2 linked regions of the Drosophila melanogaster genome follow. The protein of the gene in region 1 purifies or fractionates together with the protein of each later gene. This does not show direct contact. Each region holds a gene or a part of one and is shown on either strand. Other genes may lie near its edges.

The links.
Region 2: the proteins of shep (region 1) and bel purify together in Drosophila melanogaster (affinity purification with mass spectrometry, with the first as the bait; one study listed by BioGRID). This does not show direct contact.

What each region holds. Positions count from the first base shown.
Region 1 is NT_037436.4:5,270,338-5,285,566, reverse strand, and holds the start of shep (alan shepard), read left to right. Parts: upstream 1-7,622; 5' UTR 7,623-7,953; intron 7,954-9,203; 5' UTR 9,204-9,244; coding exon 9,245-9,412; intron 9,413-12,232; exon of another isoform or gene 12,233-14,227; intron 14,228-15,229.
Region 2 is NT_033777.3:8,654,650-8,672,648, reverse strand, and holds bel (belle), read left to right. Parts: upstream 1-11,887; 5' UTR 11,888-12,641; coding exon 12,642-12,686; intron 12,687-14,261; coding exon 14,262-14,634; intron 14,635-14,805; coding exon 14,806-16,671; intron 16,672-16,742; coding exon 16,743-16,864; 3' UTR 16,865-17,674; downstream 17,675-17,999. Other genes in the region: CG8036 (uncharacterized protein), read right to left, coding at 1-938, 2,721-2,824; CG8032 (uncharacterized protein), read right to left, coding at 5,553-5,735, 5,794-5,914, 5,977-6,751, 6,807-7,212, 7,900-8,166; p (pink), read left to right, coding at 8,923-9,006, 9,089-9,589, 9,668-11,563. UniProt on the Drosophila melanogaster protein: ATP-dependent RNA helicase that is essential and required for cellular function, larval growth, and for male and female fertility.

The sequences.
Region 1 (15,229 bases):
GATTCTCTAAGGCGTCTAAAAGTAGGCAACATATTTTTGTTTTGCTGATTTTGCCTGCTTCAAACAAGTAGAACCTTTTGCTACTTAAGAGAATGTCACACATTTGTTACGAAACCCAAAAAAAAAATTGCCCAGTAACCTACGAGCAACGTATATATTAAATGAATTGCAACAATATTGTGCAACGCTGCACTGTGCGGCAGCTGTGTGTGTTGGTGTGGGTTGAAGGAAGCGACGTGGGCGTGGCTGTAGGCAGAGGAGCGTCCAAATTGATGGGCGGTGGGGCCAGGGGGCGTGGGCGAAACGTGCGACATTTGAAACAGAAACCGGAAATTGGAATTGCAATTTATGCTCATCGCGTGTTGCACATTTTCTGTTCCGCTCAACTCAGTTCGGTTCAGTTGAGTTCGTTTCATTTCGCAAAGGATTCCGTTTAGTTGGCTGGGCTACAGATTTCATATCATCTGGCATAATCTATTTGGGGGTCATAGGCATAAGGTCAACACATGCCATTTATTTTCACCCCCCCCCCTCCCCCTTCTCTTCATCCGCAAAACGTATGTAATTAGATGGGCTGCCCGCCCCACAAAAAGGGGCATCCTTAAATGGGTCAACGGCAGTTTTCGGAATTTTTGGAATTTTATTTATGGTTCAAATGCGAAGAATTTATGTCGACTGTTGGGCGGGACACGAGGCAATATTAATTTTCGCAACATTTTGCGATCTATTTGGCGGGGGAAATTGAAATTCGCATTTTGGCAAACGTTTGCAAATGAAACTTTCGCAAATGTTTTGTGGCGGAGAGATTTCTTGAAATCATGGCAAAGTATACGCAAATAAAATCTTAAATTTTTAGTTAATCCCATTTCGGGCTAGATAGTTCTTTTCACTTATCTTCAATTTTCAAACATAATTTCAAGCTGTGGCTTATGCGTGGTAATTTTGTTGCAGCATTTTAGTTTCCATCGTCTCTGGATATGTATTAACGTCAGGACATCGTCTTTAATTAGTCCAGCAAACTACAAGTTTTTAAACCCATCTAAGCCGAGCTTTCGTTTAACTTGTAATCTTTAATTACGTTAACTACAGAACAAAACGGCTTTGTCACTGGAACTAACAAAGCTGACAACTAAAATGGCCAAGGGTAGGGCAGCTTTAAATTACACGAATGTCCTGTCAAAAATACTTAGCACCGACTAACAAGGACTATATATATATGGGAGCTTTGAGGTCAGAATGAAATTGCCAGAGACAGCTGTAAATAAAGTGGGTAGCATGAAAGACACCACCGTTTTAAAGTGCCATTATTTATTGAGTACATCGAGGCCTGTAACTTCGTCCTTTCTTTTTCAATCCAGAACTTCCTTGGCTTTTTTTCTTTTTGCCTTTGGTTTTCATTATTCGGAGCGTTTTCGGCGCATGGAACATTTGCTGCCCAGCCAAGCGAAACACTCGGAATGCTGGAGAGCTGGGGTTCCATGAAGATTTCGGGGACCGTAGTTAGTTTCTTGCCTCCTTCCAGGTGACTGTGGGCAATGTCCTGTGGCGCATGATAAACGCAGTTAGGCCCTTTTTAAATATATATACATATATATATATATACACGAACAGCCCCCGAAACGCTTGGCTTCAAGTGGCCAGTGATATATATTCCGGTATAGCCATTTTTTGTTTGATAAATTTAATAAATCAAGTGATTGTTTTGGCTGGAAATGCAATCGTTTGTACATAATAGATGGCATTTTATTTATTGCCCTGCCCGCCGGCTAATGAATGCTTATTAATAACCCGATTAGGGTGAAAGCAAAGCGGATTGGATTTAGGTCCACATAGAACAAAATAAATATCAATAGATTTACGCATTTATATAGCAAAATAGTTAAAAAGGATAAAACCAATCGTAATGAGTTATATTGTTAAAAAGATTTCCAAAGCTACAATCCTGTAATAATAATTTAATGAGTCATTTATTCTGTTAATAAACACATTTCTTAATGTGGTTTACTATTTTTTTTCTGTGTACAAAAGTCATCTAGCTCATATTCAAGATCTACTCAAATGAATTCCCAATCAAATTAGGTCTAATCGAATCAGCCAGTAGGCAATCGCTGGTTCCCAGTCACTGTTCTAGGATAATTTAATTTTAGCCCAAGAAAGAAAATAATATACGAACACCGCCAAGGATAAATTTTCCTTGTTTTTTTGGAAGTGATGTCCTGAAAAGGGTTTTACCAGCCAACAAGGAAAAGGCACTATCCTTTACCGATTGCGAGCGGAAAATGTGAGTCCGAATCTGTTTTCTGTTCGCACAGATGTTTACGCGGTTTAAAGCTCGTTAGCGCCCCCGGAAAATGGAGGGGGGGAGGGGTGTGGTTTTTGGGTTTATGCAGAGGGTTGTGGTTCGCCGGCTGAAACATTTTGCGGGGTCTACAGCCCGGCAATTTGGAGTCATTGCGGCCTCGGACTTGAGAGATAATAGAACTACGACCGCAAATATTGCCTACAAAAGTGGGTTGAAGAAGAAGTAAATGGGTAGATAAAGGGAGGTTTGTTTGCCCAGCATTGTGGCAAAAAGGATTAATACCAAAGCAGATTAGATTGTCAAAATGCGACAGCTTGCCGCCGCTGCGTGGGAAATTTCCTACTCACCACTTTTTTTTCCCATCCAATGGGATTTTGACCAAAACCGAAAACTGTAACAGAGTTATCAACATTTTGACAGCTTCAATTGCGGAAGAACAACAGAATTATGCCAAAAACAATAAGCCGATTTCAGGGCGAACTAGCTAGAATTAAGTACTTAAAAATTGCAGATTTCGCAAACGAAAGTCAGAACTTTAATTTAATGCCATTTATGTACATCAGTAATAAGCTTAGATGGTTTATTTAAGTTGTGAATTAGTTGTTAAATATGAATGAGTTAGAATGATTAGCCCAATGATACGAACAATTATACATCATAACTGAATGCTATAATATATTAAGGCTGTGACCCTTTTTGCTATTATTTAACAGGCAAAATACTTCATCGTAGCTTAATGAAGTTTAAAGTTAGTTTATAAGCCTTTCCCTTTAAGCCAGTTGAGTATCTTTTGGCCCACACATTTTGCAGATCAATCACTCACCCAAAATGCTGTGATTTTTCCCAACTTTGGACAGGAGTCTGGCAGCATCCACTAATGAAGTTGGTCTTCAAGGAGCTAAAAAACAATTTGTATACCAAAAATGGCAACAACGCCTTTAGGAAGTTTTTTTTATTAAGCTATCAATCAGTCTGCAAAAACTTTTAAACAGTAGAAACCTTTAAGAGAAGGACAAACCAGAAAAAAAATCAGATATATTTTTTATAATATACATAATCAATAAAAATTACAACAAATGTTTCCCTCTTATCCGCATAGCCATAAATATTTGTGAGTATTTTTCAAAATTCCTAATCATAATCAACATTTGCAGCTTTAACAACAAAATTATGATCGGCAGATACGATGCCAAAGAACCATTTTCATTTGCCGCCTAATGGATTTTCCGGGGACCGACGAGTGGCTGCAGCACTGGGGCCGGAAAAGTGGGCGTGGTATTCCCCTGACATAGAGTTAAGGAAAGGAAAGGAAAGGAAAGGAAAGCCGCAGATGCCGCCGCAGCATGTGTGTGCGTTTGAGCGCCTTGCCACTTTCAGTTAATTCCCTTCACTTGGTCGTAAACTTTACGCATTCACTGTAATCAAATTTTATGAAATGCTCAGACCCAGTTGTCTTCGTTTTTGGCTCTTTTGTTCAAAGGGGATATTCACTGTGGCCATGTGTGTATGTGGATGGTGCACTTTAATGTTTGTACTATGGTTTTCGGATGGCTGAAGCTCTGTGTTTGCGGCCTTTGAGTGAAAATTTTGCGGCATAGATAATTAAATAATAAATTGTTGTAATGTCTACATTTGCGCCCTTCGACTGTTGCATTTGGCTGAAAGATCATAAATGATTTATATGCACATTGAATGCGTCGACAATAGATTTAATTTAACGATGTCTTGGCGACGATGATGGCGATAATGATGATGCCGGCGACGCCGCCATTTTGGCTTTGCTCCACCATGGCTTTCCCGCTTTTCCGCCTTTTCCCTAGGATTCTCCCCACACACACACACACACACACACACACCCGTCGAGGTAATTACGCGGAAATGGTTGAGCAGGAGGAAGGGAAATGGGCCAGCCAACATCAATATTCTTCCTTCATTCGCATATTAAATCTATGTCATTTTATATAAATTAATTTCACCAATGACATTCAATGTCTGCTCGGTCGAAAATGGATTATGAACGTAATATATTGCAAATATGGGGATGTTCTTTGATGTGTATTTGTGAACATATTAATGTGGTATCGACAACCAAAGCGAAGAACATCGATGGTGGCATTTAATTTGGAAATAAGGATGGGGATTGTTTTCTTGTATAATTATGTGTGTAATAATACCAGTTTGTCGTGGATTTTTAAAGTGAATAACAAGTTGTATAAGTGATAAATCATATTTTATATGATATCCTCGTTTTTTTCCCCACCTCCTGCGTAGGAAAACCTTGAACTGAGATGCTAGCCATTCATGGCCGAGCAATTACCGACTGCAGTTTGATTGAATTTAAATTCTCGAGCTCGCCTTGAGCACTCCTTATCTGAAAGTCAGTCGTGTCCTGTGACAACCTCTGCCTCTGCCTGCGCACATTTCTCTCCTTGGGCGAGTCATAAATTATCCTTAGATCACGCGCCAACAAAAGCGTTTCGTACACTTCACTTGCTCTGGTTCTGTAGTTTTCCCTATTGTTTTTTTCTGTTTTTTTTTGGTCCTTACGCAGTGACCTATACAATGCATTCCATTGGGAAACTAGTGGTTGTAGTTCCTGGCCTGTAGACCCTTAGATTCCATGATTCTATCGTTTTTTTTTTTATTTTTTAACTAGCTTGAATTCCTGGCAGTCACATGCCGACAGAGGCGCAGCGCCAAGATGATGGAAACAGCTGACATTTCACTTTCTTGATGCGATTACGCAGCGAGGAGTGCCCACTGCACCCCATCGCCTCCACTTGCTTTGCCACCCCCTCACTCGCCGCTTTTCCGGCCTTTTCGCCCACACTGCAAATTGCTTACGGTCACGTAGCAGCGTTGCCCCCGCCCCCCTCCCCTATGGCTCGCTTCCCCCGAAAGCCCTTACTTCTCCTTTTTGCTGCTGTTGCGCGACAAGAATTTTTTCGCTTCAAGCGGTGGCCAAGAAACTCTACACTGAGCAAAAATGTGTCTACATTGTATCAATGTGGATCATATATAAAGTATGTGTTTTTTTGTTTTGCAAATAGCCCAAATAAATTAATGTTCTTACTTCATAAAATAAAAAACAATAAAACTGAAAGACGGGTAAGTTAACTTATTAATTTTCTGACATTTAAATTTACTAAACAAAAATATTTTTTAAGCCACATCCTAAAAAATATCAATAATTTTCCTACCAACGCAAGCTGAAAAACTATGTATGAAAGGCAGGCAGGCAGTGTAGGAAAAAATGGGTTTTGGAGTGGGCAACAAAAGGAAAATGGTGCCAAACTTAATGAAAATACCAACGCGTCGTCATTTTGGCCGCAGAGAGGCTGTTGCCACGCCCCCTCCCCCCCTCCACCGATCCGCTGGCAACTTTCCACCCCCCAAGCCCATCCATCTTGCATGCCATTTTCCCGTTCTACCAATATGTTATTTTTCATGCGTTTTAGACGAAAGTGTTTCAGCCCACTGTGCGTGAGATACTGTCTTCTTTTTTTTTACTATCTGCCCCATCTTTCGATTTATTGGCGTTTTTTGATTTCTTGGCCCATTTTTCAGATACAGTAGTTTCTCTATTGTTGTCTAGAAAGATTTCATTTAAAGGTTGTAGTTAATTATTGCAGGGACAAACAATAATATAATAAAGTACAATTTTTTTTCAAAATTTTGGATGTCCAAATTATTAGGTATACATATTTATTTAACTTTCTTTACCAGTTTTCACTGTTTTAAAATTCGTTGATTTCTTGCTTCATTTTTGTTGTATATTGTTTTTCTGCCGCTGCTGCTTTGGAAAATTTGCATATCTCGATAGTGTCAGTAAATTTGCATATTTAAGATAAATTTAAATTCCTTGCATGTTTTGTTGTATTAACATTTTTTTTTTGTTCCATCCAATTTCATTTCGAGTATTGTCCTTTCTGTCTGCTCCTGATGCTGCTTCTTGTTTGTTGGTCCTGGCCCATTCTTCAAATTTTGTCGTTGCTATTGCAAATTTATTGTTTGTAGGCTTATGGGGCGGTGGGAGTGGCAGTACAGGCTGTCTTCATATATGTATTTATACTTGGAGATGTTACAGTCGCGAGTCAAGTAATTAGATATAAAAGCTTAATTGTAAAAAAAAGTTGTTATCTATTGAAATGTATCAAGCTGGATAAAAATAAAATATATATATATATTTAAAATCAAAGTCGCCGTAAAAGTTTAAATGTTTATATTTTTTCGCCCGCTGCTGTCTGAGTGGTTGGGTTTTATGTGGGCAGTGGGCGTGGCAGTGCTTTACAATGCGTGGGAGTCGCTCTCATTTCGATTTTTTCAGTTTTAACCCCCTATCTGCTTATTTTTCGTTGTCGTCATCATGCATCATTTGTTTAGTCCCTTAGTCCTTTGTTATGTGCCAAAAGCTATGGGGCGGTGGGTGGTGGTTGGTGAAAAGCGGGCGGAAGGACGTGTGGTGTGTGTCGCCCTTTTATGCGACGCACTTGTTGAGAATATTAATTTTATTTAAATATTTCAAAATAACACACTAGATGCTGTTGCTGGCTTTACAGTTTTTGGTGCACACGTTTTTATTTTATTTTTTTTTTTATTTTGCGCCATTTGCGTAATGAACTGATATAATGGGATTGGGAAAACTGACAACCATGTGTATCAAATTTGAAAAAGGAAAGTTATATAAACTTAGCACTGAAAATAGGCTTTTAAAATGGTGATTTTAATTGGTTAAATCGGATCTTTATTTTTGATTAGTGACGAAATGTAATGACGAAAACTTTGTATGCAATGCATATTTTCGAATATTTACAATGTTATTTCGATTTTTTAATTAATAATCTTGAATTTTATTCCAGAAAATAAAAAAAATATAATGCATGAAATTAATAAAATTGTTATAAATAATACAGTAGAAACCCGAAAGAGTTTCGTTAAACAGCAAAGCGCAAGCTAATAAGAGGCAATAAGAAGAGAAATTTTCTAAGAGAGTACAATTTGAAGAGAAGAAATATATACAGTAGCGGAAAAAGGAGTATGTACACAGAATATATTTGCTACACGGCCACATATCCAACCCGAAGTTAAAGTTCTTGTGCTATTTTATTAAGACCTTTATTATTATGCTACTCGCCGCTGAAAATTCTTTTTTACACAATGTTTAAACTACATAGAGTAAAAGAAAATATTTAATATTATGAGTCGCACCTAGACTATTTTCCGCTACTGTAGATTGCTGTAAATTAAGCGAGAGAGCGAAGAGAGCATTGCCGGCAGAAAAGGAAGAAGAAGAAGCTCATACCATTGCCGATTGCTGTCGCGTTGCGCTTTCTTCGTTTTTTTCGGCTGCGCAAACTTATATTTTGTCGTTGTAATATTTTGCATAAATATATAAATTAAAACGCGTGACGGAACAACAAACAAATAACGAAGACAGCAAAATAAAAGGGCGAAAAATCGAAACGAAAACGAGTCGAATTACTTTCAAGTGCAAATAGTGTGCGTGGGCGTGAGATTGTGTGTGTGTGTTGTGTTTGTGCGACTGTGAGTGCGTGTGTTTGTGTGCAAAAAAAAAACAGAACGTGCAACAAGAAGCAAGAAGAAGAGCCATCAGCAGCTGACAAACCAGCAATAAAACGAAATTTCAATAAGTAAGCAACATTTAGGCAAAGCTAAAATCCAAAAGCAAATCGAACAAGAGGAAAAACTACCTTTGGAAGCCCCGCAAAGCAGACGTAACAATGGCAAAAGCAACAAATTTGCGGCTCTCAGCTAATTGAAAGCGAATGTTGTTGTTTTAGAGCAATGCACTCGATAAAAAATACATAAAGCAATGGCATAAAAATACAAAAATAAGAACGGCACAGCACAGCAGACGAAAAACAATAATACAACTGGGAAAAACGAAAAAGTCAAATGAGAGAAAGAGAGAGAGAGCAATAATTATTTAAATCTTATCGCAGTGCAAATTTATTTTTCACCTTTTGCTTTGCTCACTTGTTGTTTGCCGGTGCTCTTTCCACCCGCTCTTTGTTCTCTCTCTCTCTACTCTCTTTCTCTTGTGCACTGCGCTCTCCTTCTCTATTTTGCTGTCATTGTCCTTAAATAAGCAATAACAAAAAATAGCAACAACAACAAGTGCAATTGATAAAAAGCAATAGCGTAAAAACAATTGAATAATTTCCTCCGCATATCAATAAATTATTGTGTGTTCCTGTGTGTTTGTGGCTGTCTGGCGGCATATAAATAAATTTGCAAACCAAAAAAAATTGGCTGGCCTGTGCTGTGTGCTATTTTTAATGCCAAAATGCAAATGTTGCAACTGCCGCGCGGGAAAGAGACAGAAACAGTGCTAAAATAACTCGCTGAATGCTCCGTTGCAAGTAAAAAAAACAATTTAAGACGGGTGGTGCTAATAATAATCAACAAAGTTGCTAGTGAAATATTAATAACAAATTATAAGCACGGCAAAATAAGCTGAATATGGCACAGAATGCTAAAAAGAAGCAATAAAAATAGAGAGTGGGAGAGAGAAAGAAGAGTGCAGAGAACAGTGTTGCCGTGCGGCAGTCAGAGCAAACGGGTTGGGCTGTAAAAAAGTGGTAGAAAAATAGACGAAAAGTTTAATTAGCAGAAAAAATACTGACCTCATTTTATACATTAAAATATATAATCTTTGTTTTATTATTTAATAATAATAATGATTTAATTAATTACAAACAAACTGTCATAATTAATTTAGGTTGAGCAGTTGATCTGTATAAAAAATGGGGTCTAGTTAAGACTGTATCTCCAATTAATGCAAATGTTTATATCTGCAACGTCTTAAGATTATAGAATATTTACAATTATGACTCATTCTTTCTAATCTGCATTATCTCATTTACTCCCCTTTTCGCAGTCACAAGTCAATTTAAGAGTGCTATTAAGAAACTAGAAAAAATGCACCCACGATACAGCCCAGCCCCGCCCCCTCAGCAACAGCAACAGATGGGCGGACCGCCACACCAGCAGCAGGGCGGCGGGGGAGGTGGAGGCGTTAGCATGAGGGGGCCATCGAATGCCCAGCAATTGCCGCCGCAGATTCCGAGATCCCAGAACTATTCAAACGTAAGTCAAATACATATTGCATCTTTATAATACAGACAATATTAGAATATCTATTATTTAACTGAAGTGTACAGTTTTACGAAAATGATTTAAGTCTTAAAACGTAGAAAGTCACCATTACCCCTTCGAAACTCGAAAGCAATTCGAAATAGCCTGTTAAAAAAAAAGTGTTGGGCAAACATTTAAGCAATCAGAGATCAACAAAGGCATCAATCAATCAATAGCTTCGTGCATCAATCAAGCAATCAAACGGCTCACTCGGTCGCACTCTCGCCAGTCAGTCATTCAGTCAGTCACACAGTCACTCACTCAATCGCTCATTCAAATCGGACTCAGGCTGATGATTTTTGATTCTGATGCTTCTTTCCACATAGAAGGCGCCATTTTTGCCTTGCGGCCGATAGGGGGCGCCACTGCAATCGACATGTGTCATACGCAGCGTCCTTTAAATCCGGGAAATGCGGGACGAAAATGGGTGAAAAATCACGGGGGAAAAACTGTGGGAATCGAGAAACCAGAGGGAACCGAGTACGCATTTGAGTGGAAAATTGCTCTCGCTGATGCGGCTGCCACGGCCTGGCAATGATATGGATTTCTTCTAACCATTTTCCCCATCAATTTCCTGACAGTTGCAGTGCAGGCAGTCTAATCTCTCGATGAGAGAATCGGGCCAATAGTGCCACATTATCCTTATACCTGAAAAATCATTACTGGCCAGCAAAGAAAGGAGCATTTTAGCTGGATTTCCTTTTTGCTAATTTCAATGGTATTACACGTTTTAAGGGGGTGTAATGTTTTGTGCATTGTGTAATTTCCATCATAATTTATGCATTTGCTTTCTAAGCATCAGCAACGCACAAAAAAAAAATGAAAAAAATGGAAAAAAAAATGTAAAGCATGAAATGGAAATCGCACAAAGGCAACATTTGTAAGTAGTACCCTTCGTCCTTCCTCAACTGACGAAATCCGGTTTACCTGCGTGTTATACGAATGCACAGCAAACGATATGGTAAAATTTGTTAAGGGATCTTTATATACGATCTTATCTATCAATAAAAAGTTAAAATAAAAAACAAATCTAATTAATAAACCATAATATCTACGATATAGTATATTTACTACACCGGTTTTTCCAATTTCTCTTGGTGTATATGTTGTATATATGTTTGCCATATAATAAACTATTCAAAGCTTCTGCGGCATAATACTAAGAGATGGGGGCGGTGTGTGGTACGAATCTGGGGCTGATGTTGCTCGTTTGCTGCGTTTTTAGGTAGCCCAATCCAATCCCCTCACCAGACTCCTTGCAATCCCTCCAGGTGTGCTCGCTTTGTAGGCAACATCTATTTGGCATCCTCTAATGGCCAACAGGCGTTGCTTTGGCTTTTTTTCACGGGAACGTTCTTTCATTTAAACAGCTTTCAACTTACGGCAGCAACAACAACACGCTGGCGGACCACATGAAAATAAAAATTCTGGGAAAAAGAAAAACTTGTTGTTGAGGGTGGTGAAAATACGGCAAAAATTGTAAACATTCGCGCTTAGTCAGCGCCTCAGTCGACGTCAGTTATTGTGGCTGGAATGAAAATTATATTTCGCATTTTGTGTCCTACACAGGAAAATGAAGAAAGGAAAGTAAATAAATAAAAGAGAAAACGGGCAAGTTGCTGAAGTTTATGGAGTTAAGAGAAGATATATATATATATATATATATTTAAAATTACTTTGGACCGCACTTTGTGATGAAAATGGGCGCGTTTTTATGGCTAAAAATTGTATATGTCAAGTTTGGAGAGAGTTTTGGATATTAAATTTTCAAAAAGTTTGAGTGGCCAAACAAAATCATTTCTTTATGACTTTTACTGTAGCTAAAACTGCAAGTGCAAGAGGATGTCAGAATCTAGGAAAACTCCGTTATCGCACTTTCCAGCTTTAGGATTTTTCTTTTTATAATTCTGATTGAAATTCCCATTTTGTTCATTATTTACATATTTTCAGCTCTTTCAAAGTTGAATCTGTGCATTCCCATTTTCCAACTGTCATTTAAACTAATCCGTTTGATAAACTAGAAGCTACAGAAAACGAAATATTTCCCTTCGGCATTCTCCGACTTGTCAGTCTAAGTTCTTATTTCCCACTTCAGTAATTAGGAAATTAAATACTTTCCTGCAGAGTCCAAAAGGAAATATCATTTACACTCTTTTGATTCGTTTTTCCTACCCCAGTTTTGGATTTTACCTGAATAATTTGTTATCCCTGCCCTTCTCATACCCGCGTATAATTTTCTCTTTGGCATTTTCTATTTGAGTTTCGTAGCCGAAAATGTTTCGAGAAAGAACTTTACAGTGTTTGAGTTTGTGCGCTAAAAAGTTTGTGCAACACAAAATATTTATATTTCTTATATAAAAAAAGTTTTGTGAGCTTGGTCACGTAGTAATTTGTGATTAAATTCAATGTTGACAATTGCAAGAGCAGGCCGAAGTTGTTAAGGTAATTGCGACCATATAGGCTGGGATGCATTTCAATTGAGCAAGCTCCTGCTGACCAGACGGCAATGATGGGGATATATGTTACTCCAACTCCGACTGAAATTGCAGTGCTGAATGGCATACGAAACGCCTTTGAGTTCTGCGCCTGCGTCGGCTTGTGGATCCTGTTGCTGGAAAACAATTTTGCCGGCTCCCCAATGCATTTGAGGACACGAAGTCGGGAAAACCGAAGCTGGAAAGCCGAAACGAATCTGCCAGGCTGAGCTGAGGCCTTACTCAAAAACCTTACTCAATGAGAAATTCAGAATCCATTCGACGATTGTCAAGTTCAGTTACAAACGCCTTTTCCTCATTTTGCGCACCACAAAAGCGGAAAGCGACCACAGAGCCCCAAGCACACTGAGATTGCCGGAGACAACCAACAGCCAAGTCTGAAGCCAAAATCGAATCGAAGTCCTAATCGAATATCAAATTCAAGCCCAAAACCAAATCCTACTATTAACAAATAGCCAATAGCGAGGAGTTCACGAAGGAGTCCTGCAAACACATCCTTTCAACACAGTGCAAGCTCGCCATTTTGTGTTTTTTCGAAATAGAAAAAGTTTTTAAAAGCCATACCGCAAGATTCTGCATTAAATATATACATACATATATTTATATTTCCATTTTTCCGTGCGTATACGTAATCTGCGTCGAAGTCAGTTCATTCTGTCCATGATTTACAAATATATTTATACATAATTAGCCACTGAGAGAACCGCGAAGTGTAAAGTGCAAGTGAAGTTCAGTATTATTTACAAGGCGTGAAAATCGAAAAAGTTTACACCAAATATTCTGCTCAAGAACTCACTACTCAAAGTAGTCCAAGGATTCCAGTCTCTCAGCGCAACAATTGTCAGCGAAAATTCCTACGAATCTTAGCCAACTAAGAACTCTAATTAAAGTCAGACGAAAGCACAACTACAAAGGGTTAAAAACTCTGAAAGTAAGAAAGAAATTAACTAAATATTAAAGGAATCTTCGAAGTGAACACCAAAGCAAAGATCTACAGTATTATTTTGAATAAGAAATATATAAAACACACTCTAAGCGATAAATAGAGACAATAAAGTTGAAATAAAAAAAACCAAATTAAATTTGTGACTCTAGCCTAAAAGTAAACACATAAACCCTAGCTTAATTGTGAGTGAAAAAGATTTAGCAAATTGCCATTAAAAAAAAAAAAGAAAACCAAAAATTAGTTGAAAAAGCTTAGCTTGAATAAAACAAATAAAAAAAACGAAAATAATTGTGTCTATCGATGTGTGTGCTTAAGTAACTGCAAATCAAGTAAATAAAATTTCAACTTAAATAAGTGTTCAGTGTTTAGCCAATATAAAATCGCATAGCAAACTAGTCAATGTTCTTCATAATAAGAAATCAATAGGAAAACTTCAAAACAAAGGCCCAGATAGTCGCAAATAATAAGGCGGAAAAAAAAAACCGACGCAAGCCCAGGAAATCAATTTACAATCAAACCTGCTCACCATTAGCCATTAAAATTGCGTCAATCAAGAGAAAAACCTCGCCATTGCCCGCAGCAACATCGAAGCTAGCCAATTTCAGCCAACAGGACCCACAGCAGGAGCAGGAGCAAAAGTCCGGCGAATTTAAGGCAGCAGCTGTCAGCCAATTGGTGGCAACAGTTGTCCAGACAACAACAACATCCGTAGCAGCAGCAGCAGCAGCGGCGGCAGGAGCAGCAACAGTAGCAGCAGCAGCAACAGTAGCAGCAACATCGAAAGGAGCAACATCCGCAGGAGCAACACAGCCAGCCGCTAAATATCCTAAGGCCAGCTCCTTGAGCCAGCAGCAGCAAACACCACCACCACCGCCGCCGCCGCCACCAGCAACAACAACAACAACACCACCACCACCACAGGAAGCCGCAGCGGCAGCAACAACAACAAGTGTTGCCGGGACAACAGGAACAGCAGTCGCAGCAAAGGCTAGCAAAACCACAAGCAGAACAAGCAGCAGCAGCAGCAGCAGCAGCGACAGCAGCAACATAAACAGCAGCAGCAAAAGCGGCAACAGCAGCAGCGGCAGCAGCAGCAGCAGTAACTGCAACAGCAACACCTGCAACAGCAGCAGCAACACCACCAGCACCACCACGACGCTGTACACGTGCTCCAGCACCTCCTCGTCGCTGATTGCCCAGCCGCCGCCAACAAAGATATTTAAGACGGATCACCATCTGTGCGCCGCCTACGGACTGCCGACCGCCACCGCCGCCGCTGCTGTTGGTGGGCATCCCTGCGTCTACTGCGTGATACCTGTGCCCGTGGTGAGTGTCCTTTGCGTGGGTCCGAGGTCCTTCAGAAAAAATCCTGTGTCTGTTAATATGCCATACTCTGGAAATTTAATTTAAATTATACAATTTGGGAATATACCTCTTGATGGAATTGAGTTTGAGTATTTATAAGAAATTTGTTGTTTAGGAGTGGCTTAATATTAATAACTTGAATTCATAACATTTAAACTAAGCTAACATTTAGCTCCAACTTTTTTGTGAGTGTGTCATTAGCATAGGCTCCTTTTGATTTTTTAGAGTCATTAAATATTGAAATAATTACGTTGTGTGGGGCCGCGGACTTGCGCTGGTATCTTCAATGCTCCATGGCCGTCGTCAATTTGCTTATCTTGCCCGATGATTATCCTGTTCCTGGCTGCGTGTCGCGTACCAGTTGGTTTCTCATTACCATTTATTATCCTCCGCTGAGGAGTGGAATTAATTTGTACTAGCAAAAAAAAAAATGCTTATATTTTCAAGTTGAAAAGAATTTTGAGCCGGCTTTGTTTTGGGGTAATCCAGGAATCGCATGAGTGGTTCACGCTGAAGAAGTTTTGAAAGGGAAATGAGTTTTTTGCTGAAGGGAATTTGTTTAACTTTTTATGACACCACAAAAAAAAAATCACATTATATTTAAATATTTTCTTAAAAGTTAGTCCATGTATAATGTATAGATTGTTGAGATTTTACCGACATAAATTACACAACTAGAAATTATACAGCTACCGCTTAAATAGAGACACTAACGGAAGACCTTATCTTGGGGAAAATAGCAAAAGTCTGAGTTGGGTAACCACCAACCCCTGGAAACCACCATAACCACCCACCAGCGAAACCACAGAGCCACTTCAAGACCCCCTTTTCCGCCCGCTGCCATTAGCAGCGTCAGCTGTTTGTCCACTTAAAGAATGCCCAGATAATCGAGGCAACAAATGTGCCTAATGTCAATGACAATAAAGACAAATTATACAAATATTTGACTAACTGACTTTGCTC
Region 2 (17,999 bases), on another chromosome or scaffold:
TCTTGGTGTCTCCGTCTAGGGCAACAACACGCAGGTTGTTCTGGCCAATCTTGGCCAGAGCTGTTCCATAGGCCAAACGGGTGGCAATGGAATCACCCAGCTTGTAGGCGGGTGGCGAGCTCAACTTAATGTTGTTGATGTCCACGTCGGGAGCAGCACCAGTCTTGGGCACCGGCTTAGGGGTCAGCTTGACGTTCTTGTTGACAATCAGTCCCTCCAGATGCTTCACCACTTCGGCGGCCTTGTCGCCCAGTGGCTTGCCGTGCCAGTTGTCCAAATCCTCGATGTTGGGGAAGTCCCTGCCCTTGAACGTCTTTGCAATGATGGCGGTGGGCTTGTTCTTGGTGATTGCAGCACAATGGAAAGCCTTGCTCAATTCCTCGACATCATGACCATCGACAACGACGGCATTAAAGCCGAAGGCCTCCAGACGATCACGGTAAACATCCAGCTTATGCTGCAGGGAGGTGGCCTCCGACTGGCCCAAGCGGTTCACATCAAAGATCACGCAAAGGTTGTCCAGTTTATAGTGGCCGGCAAAGTGCAGCGACTCCCAGATGGAACCCTCGGCGGACTCACCATCACCCACCACCACGTAGGTGCGGTAGTCGGCCTTGTCGAAGTTCTTGCCCACATAGGCCATGCCAGCGCCGACGGCGACACCCTGTCCCAGGGATCCAGTGCCCACATCGATGAAGTTCAGACGAGGCGTCGGGTGACCCTCCAGATCGCTGTCGATCTTGCGCAGGTTGTTCAGATCCGCGATGGGGAAGAGACCAGCCTCAGCCCAGGCGGCATACAGAATGGGAGCAGCGTGTCCTTTGGACAGGATGAAGCGATCGCTGGAGGGATCGCGTGGGTGCTTCAGGTTCAGGCGCAGCTGCTGGAAGAACAGCACGGACATGATCTCAGCGATCGAGGCACATGATGTGGGATGGCTATAAAGAGGGAAAAGTAGGCAAAATATTAGATTGTGACAAGGCATTTCGTTTGCATGTAGTTCTAGGTTAAGGTAAGTGCCTAATGAATTATAGAAGTCGACCTCACGGTGGGTAAGTGAAGGCCGATCAACAAAGGAAAAGTGGAACTGAACACTGTGCATACTTGTTAAAAACGTTGTTTAATAAAAGAAATCCATTTGTCTATTGAAGCTTTTATTTAAACCCCCCCCCCCCCCTCTGTTCATATTTCAAATGAAGATTTCTCGAGTATCCAATTGCAATGTACATATAAATAAGATAAGATCCATTCTTGGAATTCAATGTTCCCATGCGATCGTGTTCCAAAAAAAATTGCTTTGAATCGCAGATCTGGCACAACTCCAACCGCAAAGAAAACACGCAACCCCAGACAAAATGGGGGGCTCGTCTTACCCCAGACATATAAATAAACTATAACGAGTACATGCATATGTATTTATTGGCGTTATATGGTGTGATATGTGTGTTTGTCGCGACGTGAGTCCATCGCAATTCCTCACCGGTTTCTGGGACCTTGAACTTTTCTGATCACCAAAAAACCTAAATAATAGCCTTAAAAACCAAATTCTTGGCTTCCACGATTGTGTTGCATGGCGATCTTTGTGAACGCACGTGCTTCTAGATAGTTCCGAAGTGCGTCCCCGTTTCCTGCAGCCATATCAAGAACTATTGAAGGTGATACGGAGTGTTAGCAGTGACCCGGCGCGCTTTTTTTTTTTTTATCAGTTTTCAGTGATTTTCGATTATCATGCGGGGAACACACTTGAGCTGGTCACCTCTAATCGGTCATATCGTGGTCAATGAGTAACCAAACCGGGCTTATCTCGTCGGCAGAGGTCACATTTAGAGCAAACAGAGCAGATCTTATCTTGAACCGTCACAAAAAAAAAAAAAAACGAAACAGAATGGAAAAACTAATGGAGGCGATAAAAGTGTTTTCCTTATCAGCATAGTAACTTTTTTATTTACTGTTGCAGTAATAATTTGATCGCGTCTATCCGAGATATAATTACATTAAAAGCCATACAGTCGTAAATCTCAAGTGTAGGGGATCATTCCATTACTATTCTCATCCCTCTCTTTCCAATTCCACTCCCGTCACAAGCTGTGCTTTCCAACACTTGTATGTACATATGTACATACGTATATTAAATGCCTCTGTTTGATATGTAAGTATGTTTGTTTTTACCCCATGTACATATGTATGTGCTTTCGGCGTTTTGAACGCCACGCACAAAACAAAAGCAAAAGAAATTAAAAGGCAGTAAGAAAAACCTAACGTTTCAAGGTTGTCTAAGGTCAAAAAATATTAGCTCACAATTTAAGGTAGGTGAACGCGGCTTATCACTGAGCACGCAGGCAGGGCAACAAATTCGCAAATTCACTAAAGCTACTGGACAACACGTGGGTTGGCAACTGAATCCCAGGAGGGGTCACTAAAGGAACCGGTCTTCCCATATTTTACTTCTCACATTCATACAAACATAGATGCATAACTATGTATATGCGTAACTATTTTTGTTTTATTTTCTTTTGTAATGTTTCAAAACACATACATATGTATGTATGTATTTAGCAGCCCCCTCAAAAACTTTTTCGCACCCACCCTGGAAATGGAGGGGGTCACCTTTGAAGCAACAAGTGCAAGGTGCACAACTTTTAAAATTCACATCTACACAAACAAATCTAAATACGCACACTTTAATATGCCTATGGACTTTCAGTTATTGATAAACTTACCCCGATTTGGAGGCCTGGGTGGCGTTGATAGAGTGAATTCGCAGTTTCTGGGCCAGATCTTTCAGATCCTGGACGGTCTTAGCTTCGGGCTTGTGGTACGACATCTTTGAAATGCGAATGTAAATTGGATCCGAACAAATGCGGTTTTTGATATGTTGCACAACAAAACTCGGGAGTTTCGGATTCGTTAGCCAAAGGGTGACTCCTCTATGTTTGCAATAGACAGACAAGAGTATCGACGTGGTGGATAAGTAGCTCGAGTCGGAGTTATCAACGGACCACTGCTGCCGGCTTCTGGGAACGAACTGCTCTCGTCGCCGGCACTTCGGTCGCTTTTACGCTGTGGGGGCTCAATCTTGGGAGCGGACTCGCAAAGTATCGGTATCGTCTATCGTCGGCGCTGGAACGAGATGGATATATGTATAAATATGGCATCTTTGCTCGCACACCACCCCTTTATCGGTGCACAGCTGTGGGTGGGTAACTAGTTAGTTTCAAATAGTGCATTGCTGCCTTTCTAAATTCATGCACAATTTTGGTCTAAAATTAAGCCATGAACAGTTGTACCTGAATATTTTCTCATTAAGATTTACAATGCTTTAGTATTTAATATAAGTTTACAAGAATTTAAGGTCCTATTTTTCTGGCCGCGAGTATTAAAGAGCAGCGGTGTTTAAGAGAAGTGCCCTCTCTTTTTGTCACTTTCCCCACCTCGCTCCTGAACAAAAGGTGAATTAGCCGCAAGCGAATTTAACCTTCGATAGCTCAGTTGGTAGAGCGGTGGACTGTAGTTGGAAAAACATGCAATAGAAATCCATAGGTCGCTGGTTCAAATCCGGCTCGAAGGATCGAAAAGATATAAATACCTTTTTTTTATATATTTTGTAGTGCACATACCTTTTTTTTTATATATTTTGTAGTGCACAATTTAAATCAATTTAATTCATCTACAGACATTCAGAATATAACTGAGCTGTTTAAACTAAATAATATAAGAAGGATTTTATTTGGAAGAAATAAACCGTAACTAAATTGATATAGTTTGTGAAAAGCGCCTAGGCTATTAGGCTTGGAAACTATAGGCTTACTGCAATGGACTGAATAGAGAAAGTTGATCAATTTTGTTTGACCTAAATAAGTAAAAATCAAAAATAAATAACCAAATACGGTGCATTTCGTTTGTGCGCATGCATAAAACGAACAACGGCCAAGTTTGAACTCAACCTTCGATAGCTCAGTTGGTAGAGCGGTGGACTGTAGTTGGAAAATTATGCAATAGAAATCCATAGGTCGCTGGTTCAAATCCGGCTCGAAGGATTTTTTGTAATTTTTTGTAATATCCAATTCGTTTTTGTTTTTATAGTAGCACCCGTACCCCATAAAAAATATATAAAATAGTATGCAATTATAAACATGTAGATGCAAAAGACATTTTATAAACACAATGTTATATAAAATGAATAATAATTTGAAGAATATCAATTTTAAAAACACGTGAAAATGAACATGTCTTACTTTACGCGTACATCAATATATTATTTAATTTTAGCTTAGCAACAATCAAAAGAAAAGGTATTTGAACGACATGGCATATGCTGTCCGTGACCTCAATCCATTAAAAGCTAAAATACGCATTAATTAAACCGATTACCAACAAAAGTTTATTGAAGAGTCGCGATGAATCGGATACCCGTTGTTTAACCTACTCCCCAGCACGCCCCCTTCGATAGCTCAGTTGGTAGAGCGGTGGACTGTAGTTGGAAAACATGCAATAGAAATCCATAGGTCGCTGGTTCAAATCCGGCTCGAAGGATTTTTTGTCGAATTTTTTACAAGCCATTTTTAATGCATTCTTGAATTCAGCTTAGTCAATCCTTTTCATTTCCACCTACCTTATCCTTATTAGCTTTTTTACCACACCTTAGCTAAGTTCGAGTAAATGTATCCACAAAAAATTTACGAGTGCAATGCGAAAGACTTTCAAATAATTTAGGATATCTACATATGTTTTGAATTATAGACTTTTGTTGGCCTAAAACCAAAAGCACAACTTGATTTTTATAATACAGATCTCTCCCCATCGTTAAAAAATCAAAACTTTCTTCGACTTGTGTTTTACTATTTAAAATTATACATTTTCATTCAATAATTTATTTATTTAATTTATTTATTTATGCGTACAAGTCGATATTTTTGTCACAAATACAAATAAATATGCAGATCCAAGTGTTAGAACGGACTTATGAATACCAACTTTTCCTTTTCCGCCTTAAAGAGTCAACCAATGCATAATTTAGTTAGCAAAATAGTTAACGTTAACAATAGTTACTTTCAAATATACATTAGTTGCACTCATTGTTCGATCGTCTTAGTGTCAACCTTTTGGTGCAACCTTTTCTACGTTAAATACGAATTTATAAAAATAGGCAATATATTTGTATTCATACACTTATGGTTGCTAATCGGTAATTAGGTCTAAACAACATTATGTCTTTGTGCACACTTTTTCGTCCAAGTACAGTGAAAGCTGCTGCGGGTGCACGGTCTGTTCGAGTTGGCAGCACATTGATCAGCTCAGCTAATTCGTAACTTTTATTTATAGTAATGTACAAGCGGGTTCCAAATAAATTACAAAATAATTGCATCAACAAAATAAAACAAATGCTCACAAGGGATGTACAAAAATGAGTTAAATCGTTTTACGACGCTAGCAAAATAAATTACAATCGAACAAATTAAATATCACTAGCTAAAAAGCGTTTAAAGAGTGTACAAAATAACGTTAATAAATTATAATACAAAATCGATGAGTGGTCGTTGATTAGCTTAGACTCAGTCCAGGGCAATGCCCTGTATCCAGGCGCTCAGATCACTGCCGTCCGACTCCATGATGATTTCGTCTGGCTCATCGCTCGCCAGCAAATGCTGCGCTGCCGTCCGTCCGCTCAAATAGGCGCCGTGTACGGTAGAGTAGAAACTGGAATGGGTGTGCTCTCCGGCAAAGACTATGGCGGGCTGGGGAAATATATTAAAATGTGAACAATTGCCGGGGAAGCAAGCTTGTAGAACTGACCTTCATGGCTTGGGGCGTGGCATAGAGGGGCTGGGCGAGGTTCTCGATGTCCTCCTGAGTTGCGCCCACCGGTATTGAGGTGTATGCGCCACCGGTGAAGTCCTGCGACTTCCAACTGGTACTACAAATAGATTTTTCTTTAATATACAACATTCTTAACCAAATAATGTTTCTTTGCCTTACCAAACACATCGCTTTGGCTTGGGCACGTAAGGATCCTGCAGAAAGTTCCTAAGTATTTCCGTACACTTTTCAGCCACTGCCTCATGGTCGAGCTTCTCCATGTACTCCGCCTCCCGGCCCGAGACCCAGCCCAAGAGCAGCGTGTCCGTCACCTTGGCAAACGAATATATCTTCTTGAACCAATTCTTGCTGAGATACGCTTCGCTGGCCAGCTCCTCCTCGGAGCTGTTCATATCCCGCTTATCGTCGTCCCACAATAGCATAATCTCTGATATATCGGCACTGAGGAATGGTCGCTCGTACTCCAAGAAGATCTTGTCCACGGTGCCGAACATGAGATTCTCGATGGACTCCTGTTTGTACTGCGGCAGCACAGGATCGAAGAGAGTGCGATGGGTGTTTTTCAGTACGCCTAGCGGTATGGTGCATATCACATGGGCTGCATGGAACACTCGACCGTCCTCGCAATCTATGCGCACGTTGCCTGCAGGATAATCACAATTGCTGCTGGTGTTGGACTCCACGGAGGCGCCACGAATTTCCCCCGTCGGCACTTCCGTCACCGTTCGTTCAGAGTCGTCTGAATGCTCGTCCTCCGAGTTCTCGTCGACTGTCTCCAGCCCAGTGAAGGTCTTTTTCCGCTTCCAGTGGATTTTCTTCACCGGGCATTTGGTCAGTATGGACTGCTTGGCTATCTGAGCACCCAGCGGTCGCAGAATAGAGCTATAACCAGTTGGCAACACTATATTGCCTCCTTGTAGCTCAGTGTAGCTGCCTAAAATAAAATATATATTCATATTGTATATACTTTATTTTTAGCTTAGCCTTACCAAGTTCGAGGAGATCCACCTCGTCCATGTTGTTGCAGCCGGTAATGCAGGTCTCTCGCTTGAGCAGGCAGTTAAATATGGATTGCTTGAGGCGTTTTTCCTTGGGATCCTGGACCCCGCTCAGATAGATTTCGATCTCATAGTTAATGTGCTCTCCCACGCTGTGTATATCCGGCGGCGGGCTGTACTGACACAGGAAATACTCATCGCACCGCCTCAGAAAGCAGACGTACGCCTCGTAGATCTCCTGAAGTATGTTAAAAGGCACCTGGTGCCCGTCCTCCGTGGTGGCCACCACCTTGTGCGGTTTCGGTACGTTGACCACGCTGACTAGACCATGTTGTACGGCCAGCTCAAAGATGGGATTGCCCAGAACGCCGTGTATCCAGTTGGCGCCAAGTTCTATCTGTGAAATAGAAGTGTTTAAATAGGAACATCTCAGATAAGTAGGCAAAGCTTAACATTTAACTTTCTAGTATAAAAAAGATAAGAACTGACCTATATTAGATAATTTAGGGGCGTAATTAGTACATGTGAAGTGAAACAATGTGGAAAACTGGAAAAATAATAAATTTTTCAGTCCCATAACTAAGACTACGTGATCGTTAGCCCGCAAACCCGTGAGTTTTTCAGGGCATTGCACTAGATACGTCATCATTGGCTTAATTCAGAAAACCCCTATCTAATCTGACAAACGTTGCCGAAGAAAGTTGTATAACAAATTTCTTGATAAGGTGCCGCCAAACCGATCAAAACTATGCTAATGAACGGAATGAAAATCGTGAGTAAGATTCACGACAGATGCAATTACATTAATTACCCCCATGTAAGCATATGTAACAAATAAAGCTAACAATAGGCAAATAGAGGGAACAGGAACATGTATAAAAATAGCTTTAATGAAAAGCGTGAACAGCTGACCGACTGCGCAGTCCGTGGAAAAATCTATAATCAACTGGCTGGGGCGAAGAATGTGTTACAACATGCTCGTGGTTTTTCCGAGTCGGAAGTGTTTTTCCTTTAATACCATATGGTCGCCTATGATGGTTTGTTTTGGTTTTTGGACTTGAGGGGGTTATATAACAAATGGTACCTTCTGATTATTGCTGAGCGGTATGGACACAATGCGTCCGCCCACCCGGCCCCGTGCCTCCAGAATAAGGAAATCGTCACAGCCGTTTTGCAAAAGGTGATTTGCAGCCGATAGGCCAGCCATTCCAGCTCCAATGATCACGATCTTAACGTTGGTATTATTCCCTGAAGTTTGCGGCTGATCCCCGGCTCCAGCAGACCCAATATTGGCCATACCCTCCTCCGTGGGCGAGGGAGCGGGTGTTACGGGCTCCTCCTTGTCGCCCATTGCTACACTTTGGCTTCTATGTACATAAGCGTTTTAATTGCGGATACCCGGTGTTTATTTGTTATTTTTCTAGTATCTTTCACGCCGCATTTCAATTTTTCTGCAGGTTTTTTCGCTTGGCGAGTCGCGCGACTGTTTTGACGTTTACTTGACAGTAGGTTTATGGGTTGGGGGAGGTAGCAGCGAACAGCTGTTCGGCTGGGTGGTAAATATCCAATTTTTTTTAGTAAACATTGTGTAATAATAGTTTTATTTTTATGTATGGGAGTTTGATAAGCGATTTTTTCAGAAAAACGTATTTTAATTGAAAGTTTGAAGGATAAGTTTTACGACAGCTGCTGGTCGCAGTATTGCCAGACTTGAAGCTTATAAGGGTAAACAAGCCAGCTGTCATTTTACAGCACTAAATGTATCGATACTTTAACGTCTGTGATTTCATGAAACTTTTGATTTTAATATACATTTCAAATTGAAGATTTGAATTGTTTTAATTAAGACACTAACAAGTTTATTACAAAGTATTTGAAATAAAAAGTAATCGCTCTAATCACACTCCACTTGTTATCGACCACCTGCCAGCACTAACAGAGCTGCCAGACAGTTCCAACGACCTATGTACACGAATTACTCGTCGCGCTGATAAAAACATAATTTTTGTAAATAAATGCATGCGATGTGCAATGCAATAACGTAATCGCGATTTCAAAGCGAGCTATGTGATTAACGAACGCTTCGGACAACGAAAAAGCCCACAAGATGGCCGACGCCTACTGCCTGACGAACTTTATTGATTTTTCGCTGTCGCTGTCGCTGCCGCTGAAACACCACAATCGCATCAAGGTGAGAGCAAGTCAATCCAATTGAGTCTCACCCGCAATTTGATAGCAGACCATTCACTAATGCACGCCCTTCCTCCCTTCAGTACACCTGCTTCGACATCTCCGACAGCTATATCATTTTCGGTGCCTCATCCGGATCGCTGTATCTGTTCAATCGGAACGGCAAGTTTCTGCTCTTGATACCAAACAAGCATGGAGCGATCACCAGCCTCAGCATATCGGCAAATAGCAAATATGTGGCTTTTGCAACGCAACGTTCGCTCATCTGTGTTTATGCCGTGAATTTGTCCGCGCAGGCCACGCCGCAGGTGATCTTTACGCACCTGGACCAGTCGGTGCAGGTTACATGCATCCACTGGACGCAGGACGAGAAGCAGTTCTACTATGGCGACTCTCGCGGACAAGTCAGCCTCGTGCTGCTCTCCTCGTTCATCGGACACAGTCTGCTGTTCAACATGACAGTGCATCCGCTGCTCTACCTGGACTCTCCGATCGTCCAAATTGATGATTTTGAGTACCTGCTGCTGGTGTCCAATTGCACCAAGTGCATTCTGTGCAACACTGAGTACGAGGATTACAAACAAGTGCGTTTGTGCGCTGGTGGCTAAGCCAATCTGATCACATACAATCGATAAACTTTTACCTCATGTCATATTTTTCAGATTGGTAACCGTCCGCGGGATGGAGCCTTTGGCGCCTGCTTTTTCGTCTCGCCGCAGGAGTCTTTGCAGCCATCTCGTATCTACTGCGCCCGACCAGGCAGTCGCGTGTGGGAGGTGGACTTTGAGGGCGAGGTGATACAGACGCACCAGTTCAAGACGGCCCTAGCCACCGCACCGGCAAGGATTCAGCGACCTGGTAGCGGAACAGACGAACTGGACGCCAATGCCGAGCTGCTGGACTATCAGCCGCAGAATCTGCAGTTCGCAAAGGTACAAAGGTTGAACGATGACTTTCTGCTGGCCTTTACAGAGCTGGGACTATATATATTTGATATTCGACGATCGGCGGTGGTGCTGTGGTCCAATCAGTTCGAGAGAATCGCCGACTGCCGCTCCTCGGGATCGGAGATCTTTGTGTTTACGCAGTCTGGCGCACTTTATAGTGTCCAGCTGCAGACGCTGCAATCCCACGCAGTTTCTCTTATACAACAATCCAAATTGCTGCCTTGCGCAAATCTACTACGCCAGCATGTCCGATATTTTGCGGACAAGGCTCGCGAGGATTACGAACTTAAACAGCTCAATCCGCTGAAACAACTACTCATCGAGCGGCAGGAGTACGAGCTGTTGAACGATATATCCGTGATATTTGATGCCATAACTCAGTGCACAGGCAGTGCTTTGGATACGCACAGCTCGGGAGGCAGTTCAGCCACCACTGAACGCAGTTTGAGCGGCGGAAGTTCATCGAGAGCTCCGCCGAAGGGAGTGTACGTGCTGGAAAACGCATTCTGCGACAACTTGAAGCAGCCTCTCAAAACGGGACACTTCAAGGATGCGCTGCTGACGGTAACTGGTAAATTCGGCAAGAACATCATAAAATACAAGTTCAATATTTTTGCCGAGGAACAGCAGCAGTTGGTCAGGGAACTAATTCCAGCCAGCGAGCGTTCTCTGCCGTTCAAGGACATCAAAGCACGCTACGAGTCGGGAAGCGAGGATCAGGAGGAGGAAATTGTTAGGCGCTGTAAGAAACCGGCTCCCCAGGTTCCCCACATCAGTCCCGAGGAGAAGACTCTTTACAACCTCTACCTGATCGCCAAGAGCGCCAAGTTTAGCCGGACGCAGTGCGTCGATCGTTATCGCGCTGTCTTCGACGAGTATGCAGCTGGCGAGCTGGTGAATCTGCTCGAGAAACTAGCCCAGGTGATGGTAGAGCATGGGGATACGCCTGACCAAGCGCAACGCAATTGCTACGAGATGTATTTCGATTACCTGGATCCGGAGATGATCTGGGAAGTGGACGACGCTACGCGGGATCACATAGCTGCCGGATTTGTGCTGCTAAATACTTCGCAAAATGCGGAGATTGTCAAGTGTGAGCATTGCTCGTTCCCCCTTCGCTTCGATACCTCCTGCCAGTATCATGAGCTTGGAGCAGTGCTCCTGCGATACTTCTGGTCCCGTGGCGAGCAACTGAAGTGCTTTGATGTTGTTCAATCAGTGCCGGCACTATTAGACGTCTTAGCTAAATTTTACCTAGCCGAACAGAATCTCACCAAAGTGGTGGCCATCGTCCTCAACTACGGACTCCCCGAACTTCTGGCTGACGTGGGCAAACAACTGAGCGTGAGCGCATGGGGCCGCTGCTTCGAACAGTTCGTGGAACTGCAACGCGGCGGACGACTGGTGTGCGCCAACTGCGAGTGCATATCTGGCGTGGAACAGGAACAGTTGGGACGCCACTTCTTCTACAACTGGAACTGTTTCCTCAACATCGCTCTGGATCACATGTCCGCCGGGGACACGCTGGCGCTGATCTTCAAGTGGAGCTCATACATTCCAAACGACGCTATCGACCGGGAGTTCTACTCCCGCTGCCTGCTCAAGGGCTGAACGATATGAAAATTATTATTATATACATATATACGATACTTTATAGCCATATTTATTGTTCCACTAACTAATCTCAAGCTAAGGCCAATACCAAAAGCATTTATTCTATATAAACATGTACATTCACAATATGTATATTCTGAAGACGAAAGTGAATGAATATATTCCAGAGTTCGAAACTTCGAATTTTAGTTTTCTTTAACAGACTTGGAGGGAACTTGAGTATGGAATTGTTTGGAAATTTTTAATACCTATTTTACGGCAATCACATATATATACTAAATTTCAAATTTAATTTGAATTTCTTTGACTTTTGCTTCAAATAACGAAATGGGGTACAGCGGCTGACGCCTTATAAACAACTATTCCTAAACATAAACACAAACATTTTTGGCCTTTAAGAAACAAAATTTAACTGCCCAGCCTCATTTCTCTTCCATTCAAAAAACAACAACAGCCTAGAAGGGATCGACGCGCCGAAAAAGCAAAAGTGAAAAAATTCAATTTGAATTTCATAGACCGCGAGACGAGGATATAGATCTGGCAACGCCCTTGCCGGAGTCTTTGCCAGTAACCGCCGCCGAGAGCCCAGGTTGGAGTCTCTGCTCTACCTCCACCGACCGCATCTATCGATTCCTCATCGATATACGTGCTAAAGCAGCCCTGATTTTTTAGACACGCGTCTGAAAGCGGAAAAAAACGTGAACTCGTCGGAGAAGCAGCATTTTCCAAGCCCATAGCGCTTGTAATTGTAATTGTTGGCACAAGCAGGCCAGCCAAATCCGATACGGAAACGTCTCAGTTTCAAGCCGAACAAAGGGAATTGTGTGCGAGGAACGAAAAGAACCCTGAAATTTCACACGAGAACGCAGTAGCTTGTGGAACGTAAGAAGTTTTTTGTCGGAAAAACTAAGGAAAAACGTATAGACACAAAGTGCAACACCAACACAACGATCGTATACATTTTTTTGTCGCAAATTGCAAGTGTGCATTCAAAAAAAAAAATTCAAAGCGTAACCATTGCAAAATTTTCCTAAACGGAAAGCAAGAAAAAAAAAGCAACTGATTGGAGGATAATATGAGTAATGCTATTAACCAAAATGGCACAGGTCTAGAGCAGCAAGTAAGTAGCGTTTTTAACTGCTGAAAATACCATTTACCATCTATATAAGAATGGAACACGCATGTGTATGCGGTGGCTGTGTGTGTGTGTTCGTGATGCTCATGCGGCTATTTGAAAAAGTTCGCCTAGAAATTTATTGATTTCATAACACACTAATGTCTCTATCGCTCGTTTTACAACGGTGAATTGTGTCGGTGTCAATGGCTTGCATATATGTGCGTGTGTGTGTGCGCCTGGGTCCCTCTTCGTCATTCCAATTTGTAATTTCTTTTGTATAATTTTTGCTCGCTTGCCTCCAATTTGACATGTATAATATATACATATGAAAGTTTCCATTCGGCCTCTCACGTTGAGTGTGTCGTGTGTGCGAGCAGTGCCGCTGTTCTAAGGCTGGTCGTGTGTGTGTGTTATATCTCGCTCTCTCTCGCTTGCTCACACATGTGGAAGCTGTTGTAAATAGGGTTGCCAGGAGTAAGCGATCTGGTGATTAATTTCAAGGGTGATTTGGCAAAAAAAAATGGAAGAAAAGCAAAGCATGTAATCTACATACACTATTTTAACAAGCCTTTGTTAGGTCCTTAAAAAGAATTAAACTTTATTAGAGATGTGAAATAAACAAACGTTAATGCTTTCAAATGGAAATAGTTTAGTTAAATACTACTATTTCTGTATGCCTCAAATGCACGCAATGAATCTAGCAACGATCTAGCCGTTAAGTGACGCCCCACAAAATCTGCGAATTACATATTTAGCTGCCTTTGTTAATTAATATAAATGAAGAAGGCAAAATATTGAATATTACAAGATATACGGGAATAATAATCATTGTATACATTTAAACTAGTTCTTGAAAGAGTTCCCTTGCTTTCATCACCATTCTGTCCACTTGGGTCCCGCAACCGGGCTTTGTGTTTTGCCCCTACGGTGCGATTTGTTTTCCCATGTGTGGGTGGCTCGTTCACGTGTTGTTTTTGTTGGGTTACCAGGCGGACTCTCTTTGTGTAATAGCTTGCCTGCGAGTGCGAGAGAGACGCTTACAGGGAGAGCACTAAATTCGAAGCTTTAAACTAGTTGCGCCTCTCTCTATCTGTGTATTCCGGAGATTTGCACGTACATACATATGTATCTATGTATATATACACGTTGCGTTGCTAAGAGGAAGAGCGGTAAATAGCACATGTTGCTAAGCGGGAACGAATTCATTTTGGCAGTTCTGGAGAAAATTTCCCCGGCGAATCTTTTGCCAAACTGTTGAACTTGATTCTTGAACTGGTGCCGGCTAACTTACAGGCAACATATGTTAATTGGCCATGTGTACTATAAATCAATTGTATTAGTGGAGCAAAGATTATTTGTGTAGCTTAGTTTTGCATTGCTGGTATAGATCTTATCATTAAATGCACTGTGTTCCCGTAAACTTGGTATATAACAAAGAAAAGTAATCTTAAACCAATGATTAAGTACAAAAAAAATAGAACAAAACCTATAATTTAAGTGTTAGGAAACCACATTTGATGCCACATTTTTTGCACAAGTTCTGAAGAAGACTAACCATTTAATCTTTATCACTTGCAGGTTGCTGGTCTGGACTTGAATGGCGGCTCTGCTGACTACAGCGGCCCCATAACCAGCAAGACTTCCACTAACTCGGTCACCGGTGGTGTGTATGTGCCCCCGCACCTTCGTGGTGGTGGTGGCAATAACAACGCAGCGGACGCAGAGAGCCAGGGCCAAGGACAGGGCCAGGGTCAGGGCTTCGACTCCAGATCCGGGAATCCGCGCCAGGAGACTAGGGACCCTCAACAGTCGCGCGGAGGCGGAGGCGAATACCGCAGAGGCGGCGGCGGTGGTGGTCGCGGCTTCAATCGCCAGAGCGGCGACTACGGTTACGGAAGCGGCGGCGGAGGACGACGTGGAGGCGGTGGACGTTTCGAGGACAACTACAACGGTGGGTACTATTGGCTAACAGGTGGTCTATTCACTATCAAGAAGCACAAGGACATTTAATTAATTTTTACAGCTCCATAATGTAATGATCCTTAAAATCGTAATGCGTACGACTTATACTTGGTCCTCTAATATGCCCATATTATTAGAGAAAATGTAATTACTTTTGCAGGTGGTGAATTCGATTCGCGTCGCGGCGGTGACTGGAATCGCAGCGGCGGAGGCGGCGGAGGAGGTCGAGGATTTGGACGCGGACCATCGTACCGCGGCGGTGGCGGCGGAAGCGGTAGCAACCTCAACGAGCAGACTGCCGAGGATGGCCAGGCACAGCAGCAGCAGCAGCCGCGCAACGATCGTTGGCAGGAGCCAGAACGTCCTGCCGGATTCGATGGCAGCGAGGGCGGACAGTCTGCCGGCGGCAACAGAAGCTACAACAATCGCGGCGAGCGCGGAGGCGGCGGTTACAACAGCCGCTGGAAGGAGGGCGGCGGCTCAAACGTCGACTACACAAAGCTGGGCGCCCGAGATGAGCGCCTGGAGGTGGAGCTGTTCGGCGTGGGCAATACGGGAATCAATTTTGACAAATACGAGGATATACCCGTGGAGGCGACGGGCCAGAATGTGCCCCCGAACATCACATCGTTCGATGATGTGCAGCTGACGGAGATTATCCGCAACAACGTGGCCTTAGCACGTTATGACAAACCGACACCGGTGCAGAAGCACGCCATTCCGATCATTATCAATGGCCGGGATCTAATGGCCTGCGCCCAGACTGGATCCGGCAAGACGGCCGCCTTCCTGGTGCCGATTCTCAACCAGATGTACGAGCTGGGACATGTGCCCCCGCCGCAAAGCACCCGGCAGTACAGCCGGCGCAAGCAGTATCCGTTGGGTCTGGTGCTGGCGCCGACCCGCGAACTGGCCACCCAGATCTTTGAGGAGGCCAAGAAGTTCGCCTATCGCTCCCGGATGCGCCCGGCAGTGCTGTACGGCGGAAACAATACTAGCGAGCAGATGCGCGAGCTGGACCGCGGTTGCCATCTGATTGTGGCCACACCCGGTCGCCTAGAGGACATGATCACACGCGGAAAGGTGGGACTGGAGAACATTCGATTCCTTGTACTGGATGAGGCTGATCGTATGTTGGACATGGGTTTCGAGCCGCAGATCCGTCGCATCGTCGAACAGCTAAACATGCCGCCAACCGGACAGCGCCAGACGCTTATGTTCTCGGCCACATTCCCCAAGCAGATCCAGGAGTTAGCCAGCGATTTCCTCAGCAACTACATTTTCTTGGCCGTTGGTCGTGTGGGCTCCACATCTGAGAACATTACGCAGACAATCCTGTGGGTCTATGAACCCGACAAGCGCTCGTATCTGCTGGATCTGCTCTCGTCTATCCGCGATGGCCCCGAATACACCAAAGACAGCCTAACACTGATCTTTGTGGAGACTAAGAAGGGTGCAGACTCGCTGGAGGAGTTCCTGTACCAGTGCAATCATCCCGTCACTAGCATCCACGGTGATCGCACGCAGAAGGAGCGCGAGGAGGCACTGCGCTGCTTCCGATCGGGCGACTGCCCCATCCTGGTGGCCACAGCCGTGGCCGCTCGTGGCCTGGACATTCCGCACGTTAAGCACGTTATTAACTTTGACCTGCCCTCGGATGTGGAGGAGTATGTCCACCGTATCGGGCGTACCGGACGTATGGGTAATCTTGGTGTGGCCACCTCCTTTTTCAACGAAAAGAACCGCAACATTTGCTCCGATCTCTTGGAGCTGCTGATCGAAACGAAGCAGGAGATCCCCAGTTTCATGGAGGATATGAGTTCGGATCGCGGACATGGCGGAGCCAAGCGGGCTGGACGAGGCGGTGGTGGACGTTATGGTGGCGGCTTCGGCTCCAGGGATTACCGTCAAAGCTCTGGCGGCGGCGGTGGCGGACGCAGTGGACCGCCACCACGTAGCGGTGGTTCCGGATCAGGAGGCGGCGGCGGCAGTTACCGCAGCAATGGAAACTCGTACGGTAAGTTTGGTGAGTGTGGAATCATCCATCAGCAGTAATCAGTTTAAAGGCAGAAACTTAACAGTGGATTTCCTTTACAGGCGGCAATTCGGGCGGCGGTGGATACTATGGCGGCGGCGCCGGTGGTGGCTCCTATGGCGGCTCCTACGGCGGCGGCAGTGCCTCGCACTCTTCGAACGCACCCGACTGGTGGGCTCAATGAGCAAGGCCTCAGCTTCAGGCAAAGGACCTGGGCCAGCAGCAGCAGCAGCATCAGCAGTCGCATCGTAGCCACTTTCGCAAATAACCAAACGGAGTAAAACAAAGTCGATAACAACTATATATGTGTACACACGTATACTATATAGGAACAGCAAATGTGAAAGAGAAACTGTCTGTGCGCAGCGCAACACAAATCACGAAAATACAGAAAAGATACACAGATGCACCCTCCACCCCACCCTCGTTTAGCAATTCACTCCTCTCTCACAACCTCAAAAACCAGGAGCAAGCGTTAATAATAAACTGTGCAAGTCCATCGCGAAAGTATATTACATTCATGTATAGCCAGCCCAAGCCGCCCTCCATTTCCATCTCACCCATCATTATATTTTATGAATTCGATGCGCGTAGTTGAAGGATATGCAAGCAAACACATACATATTTAAAATATGCTAAACAACCACAAATATTAAGAATATTTAAGCAAATGATAAAATTTTTGAATTTTTGTCCATAAGTTACAATTCTCACACATCATTTTTCTTGGAACTCTTAATATACATATATATATATATATATATATGTATTCTTATATATATATATATATATATCTAGACATAAATATTGTCAATGTCGGATCGAAACGATGAAAGCGCAAATCCTTGAACTTCAATTGATGATTTTAAACGAAGAAAACATAAAAATAGTAATGGTATATATATTATTAAATATATAGATCGAGATAGAATGTACTATATGAAACAAGAAACCAACACAAACAAGTAATTAAAACAAAAAAAAAACAAGTTTGCTAAACTAAAGCTTAATAATTTAGCAAATGAGAAAAAGAACTCGCATGGTTGTTTTTAATTTTTTCTGCATTTGGTGTAACAGGTGATTTTTTTGGGATTGGCAGATCGTGTCCGATAACGCTGTAAAGCACCAACGTTTACTAATTCCTTGGCGCCCTATTATCTTTTCATAAATATGTTCAATTAAGATTTATTTACTTACTGATATCACTTTTTGAGTTAGCTCCATTGATAAGAATTGGCAAGTTGCCTGTTCTTTGGTTTTAGTTCAGTACGCTTTTCGAACCAATACGTTTCGATGTAAGAGATCATTGGATTTTCAAC